2 linked regions of the Oreochromis niloticus genome follow. The protein of the gene in region 2 purifies or fractionates together with the protein of the main gene of each other region. This does not show direct contact. Links are inferred from orthologs where the notes say so. Each region holds a gene or a part of one and is shown on either strand. Other genes may lie near its edges.

The links. The genes of interacting proteins can lie anywhere in the genome.
Region 1: the proteins of anks3 (region 2) and nek7 purify together in Homo sapiens (affinity purification with mass spectrometry; 3 studies listed by BioGRID and IntAct, with this or other methods). This does not show direct contact. The link is inferred for Oreochromis niloticus from reciprocal best matches to the Homo sapiens genes ANKS3 and NEK7.

Annotation. Positions count from the first base shown.
Region 1 is NC_031981.2:1,440,417-1,447,354, reverse strand, and holds the start of nek7 (serine/threonine-protein kinase Nek7), read right to left. Parts: upstream 3,010-6,938; 5' UTR 2,723-3,009; intron 1-2,722. UniProt on the Homo sapiens protein: Protein kinase which plays an important role in mitotic cell cycle progression. Required for microtubule nucleation activity of the centrosome, robust mitotic spindle formation and cytokinesis.
Region 2 is NC_031973.2:19,315,233-19,322,985, forward strand, and holds the start of anks3 (ankyrin repeat and SAM domain-containing protein 3), read right to left. Parts: upstream 3,001-7,753; 5' UTR 2,898-3,000; intron 2,541-2,897; 5' UTR 2,526-2,540; coding exon 2,359-2,525; intron 2,279-2,358; coding exon 2,080-2,278; intron 1,277-2,079; coding exon 1,155-1,276; intron 1,060-1,154; coding exon 978-1,059; intron 742-977; coding exon 624-741; intron 502-623; coding exon 352-501; intron 1-351. Other genes in the region: lg8h8orf33 (UPF0488 protein C8orf33 homolog), read right to left, coding at 4,554-4,768, 4,850-4,996, 5,190-5,280, 5,366-5,802, 6,554-6,677. UniProt on the Homo sapiens protein: May be involved in vasopressin signaling in the kidney.

The sequences.
Region 1 (6,938 bases), on a different chromosome or scaffold from region 2:
GTTTTTTTTCTGCACAATGCTTGGCCAAGGTCTTTGACATCATGCAAAAGACAGCGTTTAATGTAGCTCGAAATGGCCTCGGGAAGCATCTTCCTTCAAATATGCTCTGTGAAAGAAAAGAAAAGAGCCAACATTTTTTTTGTTCTCTGTGAAAACCCAAAGGCAAGATGACTGTTAAAAGTGGTCAGATGACAAATGTCTCATCTGATCTTTAATCCAGGAGGGGGGGCGGCTTCAGGGCTAAAACAGGAAACTCACACAAGATTGAGCTATTTGGTAAATTCCACTGTGCTAAATCACCGCTGCAGTGCTGCACATTTCTCCACACCGATGAATGGCATTTCAGTCCTCGCTCTGAATGTCGTGCTGCTATCAGACAATGTGTATGTATGTGACCCCGGGCGCCATCAAATATCTGTGCTTCTAAAACAAAACTTTATTTCTTCAATTAATGGCATCATCAATGTCTCTTACAATAAATAATGGCTTAAACAATTTCTAACATGAACAATTTTCAGTTTCTACTTTCCCCGAGTTGCCATTCAATAAGACTTTTATTAAATCCAAACAACAGAACGGGGCTAAACAGCCAAGTTTTGCCAGAGCCTGTCAAAAGTAATCCACCTCTCATCAGCTCAAATTCAAAGTGGGATGTTACTGGCAGAAATCCCTCATCACAGAGACTGATGCAAACATTTGGCAGCCATTTTCTGATCATCCGGTTCATGACACATTCCTTGATAGTCAACTTCACAGAGCCAGCCAGTGTTCATCTCAATCACCTGATGACGCTGGCAGACTCGAGCCTGTTGTCTGACGATAATCGGATGTGGCAACAGAGAAGTGAGTAATAATTGGGTCAACAAGGTATGTCAGCTCCCACTAACTCTGGTTTGAATCATCTCTCTGCAGCGTAGCCAAACGTGATAGTATGACGCCTGAAATATTTGGCTGTGATAGGCAGCGACAGCAACGTGGCACGGGATACTGCTTTCAACCTACATCTGACCCCGAGATGATTAGGCTTAGCGGAGATGAAGCCGCCCACATACCTGTGCAGAGAAATCCGGTGGTATTTGTTTTGTTTGTTGTGCCTTTGGCTTGTATTTACTCCTTTTTTTCCCCCAACTTGTTTTTCTACTCATGCCATTGTTATTATAATTTGTATTTTTAATATTATTATGTTCAAAATTAAAGATGAGAAATTACAAAGTTCCAACAAAACTGTGGACGCCATGAGTGTGTAAAGGTTTTGCAATAACTACTCTGACTCACAACAAAGGAAGTAAAACGAGAAAGGCCTGATCTCTGATTTATTTTTTATTTGAATAAATTACTTCTTTATAACGACTTGCAGCTCTCTTCCAAACAAACCTCGTCTACCAAGTGTATAGTTTTTATTGTGTTTGGCAGCGTGGAACAAAAAGACAGCTGGAAGCGCGTATGCCTTTTCCAAAAATTACTAAAAGGTTAAGAAACAAGTGTTTTGTAATACGCCTTTACATGTTTTCCTAGATTAAAAAAAAGAAAATGCAGAGGTGGGTTTGTTTTTTGAACTTCCATATAATAACATATTTGCAATTTGTCTGACAGCTACTTTGGCTTGAGTTTAATAACACAATCCCACATATGACAACTAAAAGAAACTAAACTAAGGCAGATTCACTTCAAATTTTTCATTTTTTATTAAATTTATAAAAAGAGCATTATTTTTTCCCCATTATCAGTGATAATTGTAAGATAAATCAATTTAGATTTTGATCTATAAAACATCAGAACACAGTAATTTCATCAGTGTTATTGAATCTAAACCTCAAAATTATTTACTTGACTTCATTTTTTTTTTTCCTCTATCAAAATATCTCTTGGTTGTTTTAAATTTTAGTCTCCACACATAAAAAAAAAAATTGCCATCCACGGGAAAATTACAGTAGGGATGCATGTAAACTACTGGGTTTATATTTACAGAGCATGGGTGCCAAGCAGAGGTTCGTGGAAGGCATCCACTCCATATCCAACCCTGCTTTGGCCCTGCTGCAGTCATGTTCATGGATGTTATACTACTCGACTAGGAATTCCTCCACAAATGTCCTTACTGACAGCTGAGACTTCAGATCCAAAGTAGAGTAAGCAATGTTGACAGACACGTTGCACATCACGATTGACACATTACACAAAATAAGTCTTTGACATAAAAAAATACCTTCACATCATAAACTACTGACAACCAAGGATGTAAAGAAAGGCTGTAAAGACATCACCGAGGCTGTGTGATTACTACTGTTTGAAAGCTGTTGTGTACTACGTGTAACATGACTGTAACATTGTAGCAACAAGTGTCCACTGTCATGTTGGCACCGCAGGATTAGCCGCTTTAGCACTTTAGCACAAAGCCGTTTTGCGCACATTGTAATATAAACGTACAAAGCAGCTGGAAGCGTTTACTGACACCTTCAACTGTCCAGTTTTATAGAGATAAAGTCCGCAAAGCGACATGCTAGGAAGCTAACAAGCTAGCCTAGCTAGCGAACTTCACAAAACTTCTTCAAATGAGCGACAAAGTTGTGTCTGAAGGGCAACTGGTGGCTACTACGAACTTTTTAAAAAGTCTGTCACTTTCCGAAGAAGTTAAAGCGCAAAGAGCAGCAGCTTACGAGGAGTTCATTAGCAGTAGCTGAGTTTCAAAAAGTTCACTATCAGCTAACGCCGTGTCAGTTCTTACCAGGAAGTGGGAGACTGTTGCTAAGCTATTCCTTCTTCACGCTGAGGCTTTTTCCTGATGGTTATGGCGGTTGTCTTTGTTTTGACTTTCCCTTTCTTTCCAAGGTCGCTGCGAGAAGTGGACTCGGCGGGCCTCTGTTCCTGCGTGGCACCGTGACTGAGCTGGAAAGTTGTCTCGCAGAGAGCGCCTGTGCCGCACAGCCAGGCGAGATGTGTACGTGTTTTCGGACAGACTCTCCACTACTAGGCCCCCCTCATCACCACAATGCTGACCCGTGTGACTGTAATGTAAACAACCCAGCATTCCCGGAGCGCAGGGGAGGGGCGAGTGTCAAAGAGCGAAGGGAAACTGTCAAATACCGCGAGATTCAAAGGAGCGACTTCGAATCACCACCTCGCGCTGTCTTTACACTGAAGCGTGTTATTTACGGACAGAGGAGAAGTTTCCTGTTTCAACTTATGGTGCATTTACTGGCTCTTTCTCGAGCTTTTCACTTTTAATTGCTGCTGGGCTTTTCAAACGCACTTGTAGACAAGTGGCATCTGCTTATATTAAAGGAAAAACAGGTATGTCTATAGCAGGCACCTCAAAAGCTGTGCAGCTCACACCAGAATAATTTAGATGGATAAATAGCATTACAGTTATCGCTCTGTGCTTAGTTTGAAGAAGTTGCATTATACCAAAACGTTACACCTTCGTGTTGCAAAATCCATCCACACCTCTCCAGTTCACTTCTGTGGTTGAACAGAAGATGATCCCAGCTTTCATAGGACAACAGGCCCACGTCACCTCTGTGAAGTGGGCCTGTTGTCCAAGCCTCCCGCGATTGTCTCGACTTTTTTATTTTTTATGCCAATTTTTGCTCATAATCGTTGCGTTTTTCTTTATACCACCCACCACTGTCTGGGATGTCATTCTTAAGTTGCAACAAAACTAAAACATTTGGTATTCCAACTTTGCTCAGAATTTGCATGACAATCTGTTGAGGCAGTGTAAGAAGGTTTAAGTGTGCAGAGGCAGCCAGGGTGTGCTGAATCCACTGAAGCACACGCATATCCTCGGTTATTTGCTCACAGTCTCGCTTGCTATCATTGCACGTGTGCACATGACACGCGCAGAGTCTCTAATTGGGAATATTAAGAGAATTTATTGACAAAAAAATGGTGCCGCGGATTGACTCGCGTGGACAGCGAGCGCAACTGGAACTGATCAGCTTACTTTGCTTTGATAAGAGCTTCAGCGGTGATTTCAGACTGACAATTCAAACAGCGCTGATACACAGGAAACACATCTGTCTTCTTCCCATCCCCATTGTTAATAATCAACAAGTTAGGTGGGGCTGTGTTTTTTCTCCCTACTTCAATCGCCTTTTTTGTTAACCTCACTGCAAATATGGAGAAAGGAGAGATGCCTGGAGTGTGGGATTTTTTTCCCCCTTTTTCTTCAACAACAGTTGAAGATTAAAAGAAACGTCTCACAGAAATCTGTCAATTCTGTATGTGAATAATGCTGTGTGGAATTTAATGGCATGAGTTATATTGGGTTTCCTCTACACCCACATTTTCTCTCAATAAGATCAATGCCGCTCAGTGACAGATAGGGATGGTCTTTTGTATCTTCAAATTTCAGGTTTCTAAGGGAATAATTAGATGGATGGATGAAAAGTAATGCATCAGTCTGCGAGGGGAGCTGCACCCCGAGTTCCTGTAGTTCAACACGCATGCCTCCACGTGTTTGGTAGAAAACTGTTTAATAATCGTGTTGGGTTTCCATTGTTCTAAAAGTGGCTCTCTGCACTGATGTGGCGCTTTAAACCAATGGCAAACTTTTTGTGTTCTTTTTTTTTATTGTTTATTTAACAGAGAGGATCTCCTTTTGATTTGGGGATATTTTTTTTAGAAAGGGAAGCATTCTCATCTATTTCGCTCTGTTCCTTTTCAAACTTTCAGGTGTCGCTCGCAGGTAACCAGCATGGAAAAGGTTCTTCCTCCAGGGGAAATGAAGTAGGTTGAATCGCTGAGTTTACAGAGATGCTTTAGACCTTTTACTGTAAGTGTGACATTTAACTCTGATGTGTTCGAACACACGTGCTGAACGAAATTCCCACAAATGAGATCTGATGACAGCGAGCATGAATTTACAAGAATTTGGCCGCAGTGTGAATGTTACGATATTCCATAAGTGATGGCAATAAAAACAACAACCAAAGTTGTTAGGCCACCCCTCATTTCATTGTATTTCTCCGGGAAAAACACATGGAAATCCAGTATAAAGCCAAACCAGAGTTTTTGAAAGTCAACATTTGGTATGACCACTTTTATTCCTCAACTTTTTAAGACAAGCTTTCTTCTCATTTCTTTAAGTAGTCTTCAGGAATAGTTCTCCAGGCTCCTTGAAAGACATTCAAAGCTCTGCTTTAGATGTTGGCTGCCTTTTGTTCCATTTCCTGTCAAGATGATCCCAGACTGCTTCGGCACTGTTGAGGTCTGGGCTCTGGGGAGGCCCATCCATGACTGATAGTGTTGCATATTGATGTCATTTAGATTTGGATTCATCGCTCCATAAAACCTAATACCTGCTTTTCAGTCGGTTCTAGTGTAATTTGGCATTTTATTAAAAATGGCTTGTTGACCATTTCTAAAAGAGGCAAACAGCAGACGGATCAGCTGAATGGCGAGATGCCTCCTGCATGCCCTGTGTCAGGTCTTTGCTGGATTTTTTTCCTATAGGACATGAAATCAGCATCACATACGCACCATGACAAAAGATGAAGCCATGCCACTTCATCTTTTGTCCTCCACCTGTTCAGTTTCCTCAGATTTGTTTTAGAACACACTGCAAAGCAAAATACTATTTAATGTCTGTCAAACTGTGACCTTTTTCAAGTTTTATTGTCACGTACAGATAAACAGTGTAGCAACATGAAATTCTTTGGCTTGTGCTCCTCAGCTTTACATGAACATATAGAAGTGTGCAGTTATATTAAAGAAGAAAATAATAATAATAATTATAATAATAACAAAATACTAAAGTATGAAATATTATAGAATTTAAGACAATTGTTTGGTATTTACAGTTTGTGCAAAAACGTGTGCAGTGAGGATTTAAAGTGGTCGAAGTGACCGTGTTAAAGTGAGTGTGTAATGGTGTGTGCAGTATGTCAGCAGTTCAAACGCCTGATGGCTTGTGTGTAGATTGGCATTTTTCAGAGCTCTAAAGAAATTAGAATAAATTAATATTATATTCATAAGTCAGCATTAAGTGGCTTAACAAACAATATAGTCTGAAAGACCGTCATAAAGCCTGGACGACTATCGCTCACATCACTTACATTTTTTTTTGCAAAGGTCTGACTCCTTGGAAGTAAAATATAAGGACAAGAGGGGCGGCCCAAGACTTTTGCACAGTGCTGAGTTCTGAAATTGATCATTTTTGTGCAGAGTGGGGGAGCTGAAGTTTCCATAATCCATAATATATTCCATGTTATTTAACCCCACCTGGAGTTTTAGAACCACTGGATGAACATTTGTCTGCTGACCGCACTTTACAGTTGCCCATTAATCCTGTAACATTCCAAGGAAGCATGCTAGGAATGGATGCTAGCTAAAACAGGTGGTCCTACACTAATTTCTTTTCTCCATTTTGTTTACATGTTAGAGAGCTTAAGCTGTGACACCACTGGTGCAGCGGGTTGCTAAGTCGTGTATGTAAAACAAGATTAGTAGTGACCTTATGTGGAAAGATCGGATACTGGTCACTCCCAAAAAAAGAGTGGAATTTCAGTTATACGTAACTCCAAACACTCCCACCTGAAATAATATGGAAATCTGCATTTGCATTGTTGAGGTTCGATAGGTAATACAAGCTAAAATGACTACAGAAAGCTTAAAATTAATTTGAGTTTACTTGCAATTTTTTTTACATTAAAAAAATTAAGTGGTTTATACAAAGACCAACTCAATTAGACAATAATTAATCTGATTATTTGTAAACATGATCCACTTTAGGCCAAACTCAAACATTGTGAAATAAAGAAAAAAAGGTCAGTTTCACATAATTTGCACAATAGCAGTATTAGCTGTGAACAAGACCCACACAGTGTTCTTGTTTCTGTACAGGTTTCAGTGCATTCCAGCTTTTCACTGCTAAATATGCAGATTTTTTTACACCCAGAGGCTGAAAGCACATTTTAAACACTTAAAAAGAAAAAAAATGT
Region 2 (7,753 bases):
AATTTTAAATGTGTATGTGTAAATTCCTGTGATAATAAAGAGACTGTAGCTCAAAACAAATCACATTAAAGCACAGTAATTTTTAAAAACGTAATAAAAAATGAATCTGATTTTTTCTACCAATCTTAAAAATAACCACCAAGAGCAGATTTACTGGAAATGTAAGGCACTTTAAGACCTTTATTTCTTTTACTTTAATTTCATACTTTCTAAGGACCTGTGGGAACCCTTAGAAACAGCTTTTTTTTAAAAAAATGCAATTTAACTTCATAACTAGAACAAACGTGGTGTTCAAAGTGTGGCTCAGCACAGATACAGGTTGAAGACCGGATGTTTTACATGACACTGTACCACACAGTTTGCTGGTGCCTCCTACTCGGAACTTGGCGATGGCCTGAGGCCCATCGTGGATGCTGATGCCTTTAGCTCGGTTTCGGCTGGGCCGTATCCTCGGTGGTGCGCTGTCCGAGTCCTCGGAGGAGCTCAGATCTTCAAAGTGTCCTGACAAAACAGAACACACGTACCAAACCCCCCCCCACCGAAAAAAAACATTAGAAACTAAAAGGCAATGAAAGACCTAGTAAAGACAGGAATTTTAGATGCTGAGCCGTTTAAACCAGTACCTGGTTTAATTCTTGGAGAACGTGAGTCAATGAGGCTGACAATTTTGGTATAGCCGTACATCATAGCCAGAGCACGCGCCGTCTCACCTTTGGTGTTGCGTTCGTCCACTTTAACTTTCTGAAAATTCAAAGGATTACCAAATTGTGAGAAAGGAACGTCACCACCCATCCTCAGCGGTGTGCGAGTCATGTCAGTTACATTTTCCAGTGATGTGGCTCCATCTTTAAGATGTTGAAGAGGGACAGGAGATGGAGATGCGGCAAAAAAAGGAGAATGACATGGTCTGGCTGACCAAGTACTCATAACCACTTGCACTCACACACGAGTATGTTCCAGCACAGTAACCTACTTACATGATCAAGTAAGTACTGAACAATGATTTCATGCCCAGAAGCAGCAGCCTCCATCAGCGGCGTGAAGCCAGAACCTGGCTCCCTGTGTATGAGGGAAGAATCATGGAAATCTCAAAAGTGTGAACAGATCGTTATTTTTTTGGATGGTCTTTTTTTACAGCAAATAAAGACACTCACTTGACATTGGCGTCAGCATTGTTATCCAGCAGGAACTTGACCATCTGTTGGTGGCCTGTGCTTGTGCAGTGGAACAGAGCGGTCCAGCCTCGAGAGTCCTTCAACTCCAAATCAGCCCCTTGCTTTTTGGGTTTAATAAGGAAGAAAAAAAAAAAAAAAGGAAGAAGAAAAGAAAAAAAATGCTGAATGTTCACAATAAAATTTAAAGTTAAAAAAAGAGTTGAATCCAAACCCAAGGCCAGATTTACTAAACAGGGCAAAATTACACGCGAGCAGTAGTGTTGATAGGCGTGGTTAGTTTTAAAAGGCGATTTTTAAAACACGTCTTCGAAACACAGACAGTTATTTTCAATATCATGCAGAAAAAACATTGACAGTGCTACCCCTCAGCCTCCTCCTTCAAGTGACATCCTTGAGTTATTGCATTCACAATAATATATATATATATATATATATATATATATATATATATATATATATATATATACACACACACACATAAAGATCCAAACTCATTGTCTCATGGAAATCCACAGTGGCAAAAAGAAACCACTGTATGTTAGTTAACCTCTAAAACAAAGGTTACACGTGGGTAGGCTGTGAGAACACATACCCCTGTGGCCTGACATACCCTTCAGAGAAGTGATGCTCACAGACTAAAAGGCCGCATGCAAGTGTGCCTTGTGTATCATTTGCTGTTTTAACATGCCATTATAACTGCTGGGGTTTATTTTGCATCTTTTTTTGGCTGGATCTACCCTTCAGTTACTGTCCATCTGCTTCCCATCTAATTCTTGGAGTTTATTTTAACTTGTTATTTGCTTTCTGTCTCTTTTCAAACTCTTTTTGTCATTCTGAGGCTTCACATCATCACAAATCTCTGAGCCATTGTTTTGTCCCCCCCCCATTCAGGGTGATTCTGTACCTGAAGCAGAAAGTATGCGATACTTTCGTTCCCACAGCTTGCGGCCAGCATGAGGGGTGTGAGTCCTTTGGCGGTGGTGGAATTTACATTCACACGGGCCTCCAGCAGCAGATTTGCAATGTTGTCATGACCAATGTAGGACGCATACATAAGTGGGGTCCATCCTCCAATGTTCTTACCATCCAGGTCCACCTCACGCCTGAAAGCACACACAGTTATGTGAATAAGCTGTGGAGGATATTAGCCCGTGTGGAAATGTTGGTATTAAGAGGCCCTCACTTTTTAATGCACTCAGCCACCACGTCGTACTGGCCGATGGAGCAGGCGGTGTGAAGGTCCAGAGGGACATCCAGCTCCTCAGCTCGCACCAGGGAGTCACCCAGCCACAGGGAGAGGCTGGCACCCAGCTGTTCTGACTCACTGGCCTCATCGCTTAACTCGGACATCTTCACTCTTTTCTCCTGGGAAACAGAGACACCATAAACTGCTCTAAACAAACTACAACGCCCTGGTTTCAAACTTTAAAACCAGGGGCTTACGAGCCTGCAAGAAGCCCCAAATGCTGTAGCTTCAGTTGATGGAAAACATAAACAATCCTGACTTATACAGGCTCACAAATAGCGGCTACTTTAAAGCTAACGGTAATTTCACAGGGCTCATGACTCCTCTGGCTAATTTAGCTTAGCGAGGTGAGCGTCTAAACTTTTGGTCTCTGGAATAAAACCAACACAGTGAAATAAACTAATTAAATACTCAGAAGACAACAGAAGCAAACGAGTATTTCAGAGTGCAGAAAAATATAACGAGTTCAAACTTACAGTCAGCAGGTAGTTTGTTTTCTCAGCAGCCGAAACTTTTCTAGTTGTGTGTCACACTCTAATGTGTCCGTGCTGAGCCTTGCACCACCCTATCCTGTCTGAGAGACACTTTAAAGGGAAAATCTGAGGAATCACGCTTCCTTAAACGGGAAATAAACACAGGAATGTATGTTCTTTACACAAACTCTTGATTCATGTTTGCTCTCAAGGTCAACTTCTCTGTTTTACACACACAGGCTGAGTTTAAAAGTCTATGAATCATTTACAACATATTCAGTGTTATTGTGTGTTATCATGGAGTTAGCAATACTTCATCATTTAATCAAAATATTCAAGTAAATGAAAAGTACAGTTTAAAAAAAAATGTGTGTGAATTAATAATCAGGAAATTCGATTGATGTGCATTGCCCAATCTGATGTCTTCCAGTGGCTTTTACATTTGTGTGTACATTTTCATTCATTGTGATTTTTTTGTTTTTTTGTAATTGTATTGTAGTTTTAGAGGCATTTTGACTGTGTCTGTGAGTGTAGCTTTGTAAAAACGTGACAAAAAGGGACAAATTAAAGAATCAACCTTAACTCAGTCATTAACAATAACATTTTCATATTTGTATAAAGTGAAGATTGAACATAAAGTGAGATTAGTGACTAAACTTTAAAATATATATGAGTAAATCAAAGCTAACTTAGCCAGTTTCCCTTTTAATAAAAAGCGGTACATACAGTCACGTGAAAAGGAAGGTTTTACAGGACTATGCAGTGTGCAAAACTAGAGGCAGTAAATCCTTACTGCTTCCATAAGAATTAATTGGATAAGTTGCAGCAAGGTACTGCTAATCAAATACTTAACTAAATTATTCATCAGCAGCTGTGAAAAGTAGAAGTTTTGGAAGTTTGCTGTAGCATTAATGCTATAAACATCCCCAGGAGAGGACATTAATCCCAGAAAACAATTAGTGCTCAAGTTGTTGCTCCTTAAAGTGGTTCTACAAGTTACTGAATCAAGAGGTGCATTTCCTTTTTGAATGTATAAAGCCTTTGTGGAATATATGTTAGCCTTAGTGATGAAAAAAAAACTATGAATCAATATGGATTATTAACTGTAAACTCAGATTTTACTTAAAAATCTTTATTTCATTTTATCATTGCATTTAATGAAGACACTACAAGCAAAAATACCAAAGTTTTATTTTTTAAAATGTATTTATTTAGCAATATGATAAAAAAAACTTGAATGCTTTGAACCATTTTTTCTGAATTAACATGATTATTATCTTAGAAGTCCAACAAAAACTTATTTGTCTGTTTTTCTAAATATACAAGATATTTTGGCACCTCAGGTGTAATCCACAGGACTCCAGTATTTATGGTAACATGTCTCGAGTCGCCATGCTGTCAGCCTGAATGGACTTGAATAAGCTTCTCTTGAGATTTGAGCAATCACATTAATTCAGTGAATGGATCACGCTTTGTAAAAATGTATTAGTTAAAGGTTTTGTCTGTAAGCACAGAGATTGTGACATCTTCTCTTCTCATATCTTCAGCGTTCACCAGAAGGTTGTCCACAGATCTCTGGTGGTGCCGTTCTGCCAGCCTACGTAGCACTTTAGCTCCAGCATGATGCATTGTGAAGGACTTGGCATCAGGACAGACAAATCAGAGAAAATTGAAGTGAAACTCCTCCTTCGATGGGATAAAAACAAAAGCCGGTGTTGCCTCCTGAGTCTGCGGCGTCAGCTCTGCACCCTGGGCTTCAGTGTGCTGCAGCTTCTCCTCAGCAAGCGATGTCTGAGTTTTGACTTCAGCTCTCCGGTGGAAAACAGACTTCTTTGGGGACTCTGACACAAGTTTGACCTGGGCTGATGCAATTTCTATCAGGGCACAGAGAAACCCGTTAGCCAGCTGCAGTTTTTAACCATTCTAATGAATCCGCTGCTACAAAATTCACTCACCGCTCTGAATGAGTTTGAATTGCTTGCTCTTCTCCTCTTCCATCTTCTTTCTGTAGTCTCCAGTTACAGCTCTCATCACCTGCCTCTTCTTGGGCAGAGGAGCTTTGGAGCTGCGCAGAGTCTTCAGTGCACGCGAGGCCTCGTCCTCTGAAGGGAGAACATATTCAATAGGTGACACCATGATTAGAAGTTTACTTTTTTGTATGATCTTGTTTAGATCATAGATTAAACATTAAAGAATCCTGAATATTAGTTTAGTCTAGGCTACGTTCACACTTGGATTCACTGCATGTCCCTTCCAACCACATCATAGTACTTCTGAGGTACAAATCTCACTAACTCTGCTTCGGTGTGCCCTTCTGGGACTTCAGGCCCAGCTCCAGCTGCTCGATGCACCAGTCCAGCTCCCTTTTCAGCTGCTCTTCTTGACTCTAAAACACATTCAGACATAAAATCAACCAATCAAACTGCTCACCTCAAACCCACTGTAATTACTTTAAAGCACTGCGCACTGACCAGCTCCTCTGCAGCACCTTCACTCCCCTCAGCTGGCTTCTGCAGTGGCTCAATACTCGAGGGGTTTTTCTTCCCTGATTTCTTTTTCTTCTTCTTTGTTTTTGATTGCTCAGATTGTTCAGGTGGAGACTCAACCTCCTGCGAAAGGGGAGGCTTCTCCTCTGGGACGCACTGTCGGTCACCTTGAGAAGTATTTGGGGTGTCTGTTGTGTCCATGTCCTCTGCAGGAGGAATTTGAAAGTTGAAGGCAAAAGCAGAGCCCTGTTCAGTGAAGGAAATCTGGCTCGTTGGCTCAGTCCAGTCCGATGCAGGTGTTTTCTCTGAAGTTGCTGGAGAACTGTCAGGGAAGAAGTTAAACCTGAAGACGTTATCGCTGCGAGTCCAGAGGGGCTTCTCGGCTGCAGCAGGTGTGGAGCTGTTCGATTCAGCTTTGATATCTGTTGAATGAACACAAAGGACACACAAACATTAGTTTATCTCACTTTTGAGAGCAATGTAATTTCAATATAACACTTTAACTGTGAGAAATGATAACACCGACATAAAACCCTTATGTGCGTTTCAGTTGCTTGAAATCTTTTAAGCGTTCACTTAAAAGATTTAAAAACCCCGTTCTGTCCAGTAATAACAGGTCGAACACATGCATGTGTGTTATTTCGTTATAATATACCGATGTACAACAGCCTCTGGTCGGCCATGCTGAGTCTTCAGAGCTGTAGTTTTTTAGTCGAAACGCGAATTTCCGGTTTTTTAACTCGATGCAAACATATTCAGTGAACCCTGCATACGTTTTTAAACATTTTTAAAATTTCTTTAGCTCTTCGGTCTCTTTAAAAACATGTCCAATCCCCAAACCAGACACTTACCACCGGTGTTACCCGAGAAGAGGTCCGTGTACTTACACTTTCTCAACGCCCGCTTCGTTCCGCGCGTGCATGTTCAGTGCTCTCGCGCTTATTTGTCTATTTATTTTTCATTTTTTGAACATTTTCATTGAAAAATCTTTGAAATAAGAACACTGTCTATTTATGTACGCTTTTAAAGCAACTTTTACCTGAGATAACAAAAAGGCTTATTATTTTATATAATTAAATAAGCAAATAAATAGTGTACAATCATATCACTGTGCTGATAAGGCTTTATTCGAGTGCATCATTATTAGATTATTTCGAATACAAATAACCGAACCTTTTTCGTTTATGATGGTGATGAGGATGACTTGGTACGCTCCCGCTTCTCTCCGGTTTTTTTTTTTCACAGCAGGCACAGAGTTCGAGGAAATGTGTCCTAGGTCTGTTGGACAATGCTTCATCCATCGAGTTTCTGTCAGCTCCAGAATTATGTATCACACTAAAGCTTCCCATTTATATATGAAGAGGTTTATGTATGGAGCGTGTATGTCGATTTGTGAGGTGCACATATGCTTTTTCAGAATGTCTTCTGTGTACTTCATTTGCCTTTTCACATAGTACAGGCTACAGCATAAGTATGGCAGCATTGTTCCCGCTTGTCTTAATTAGTTAAAAGAGGGGGGCGGTCAGTGACCACCATGTTTTCAGAAAGGAATTCCCAGGTTCTAAGATTACACAGACAAAATTATATGTATAACTGTGTGGAATAAGAGAGAAAAGCTGCGGGTGAATAATTAAAATCAAAATAACGACATGCTTCTTTTTAAAATAAGGTACATCTGACGATCCGCTCTAACTTCACACGCAGAGGCAGAGAGCCTCCTTTTTCCTGAACTAATCATATTCCGTTAGGGATTTCAGTTTGGACCAATTGGATACGTTCAGGGGCGGGCTTCGAGCGCTGCTCCGCTTAATCTATAAATACCACCTCCTCAGCCCTCAGGGCAACATAGCGAAGTGACTAACAAGGAGGAGTCATTGAATTTCCCCGAACAACGAAAGTGATCCAAGGTATGGCTGTTATGTTTGTTTATGGGTTTTATTTAAAATCGTCAGTATGTGAATTGGATATATTATCTTTTTGAGTTTTGGTGTTAATGAGAAGCTTTGAAAAACTGACAACAAAACGGCGCGCTCTGTAGCTAAGAGCTAGCTGATGGCTTAAATTGAGCCGATTTGACTGCTCTTAGGGTATGACTACATAATTATAAACTAATGTTAATGTTCACTTATACGACTGAGTGCCGTGTTGTTTTTGGTGATATTAATTGGTTAATTTTAGTGTAAATCTTCGCGGTAACTAGCTGGCGCCATTTTGCAACCGTCCATGCTAGCTTTAAAAATGCTCGACAGACAAGCAAAGAAACGTGTGTGTCTCCTGTAGCTTAATGGTGGCGGTGCTTAGAGGTTTGTGTATGATATTTGAATAAAACCATAAAAGTGGTAACTGTTGTAACTTGTCGTCCTTGATAATGGT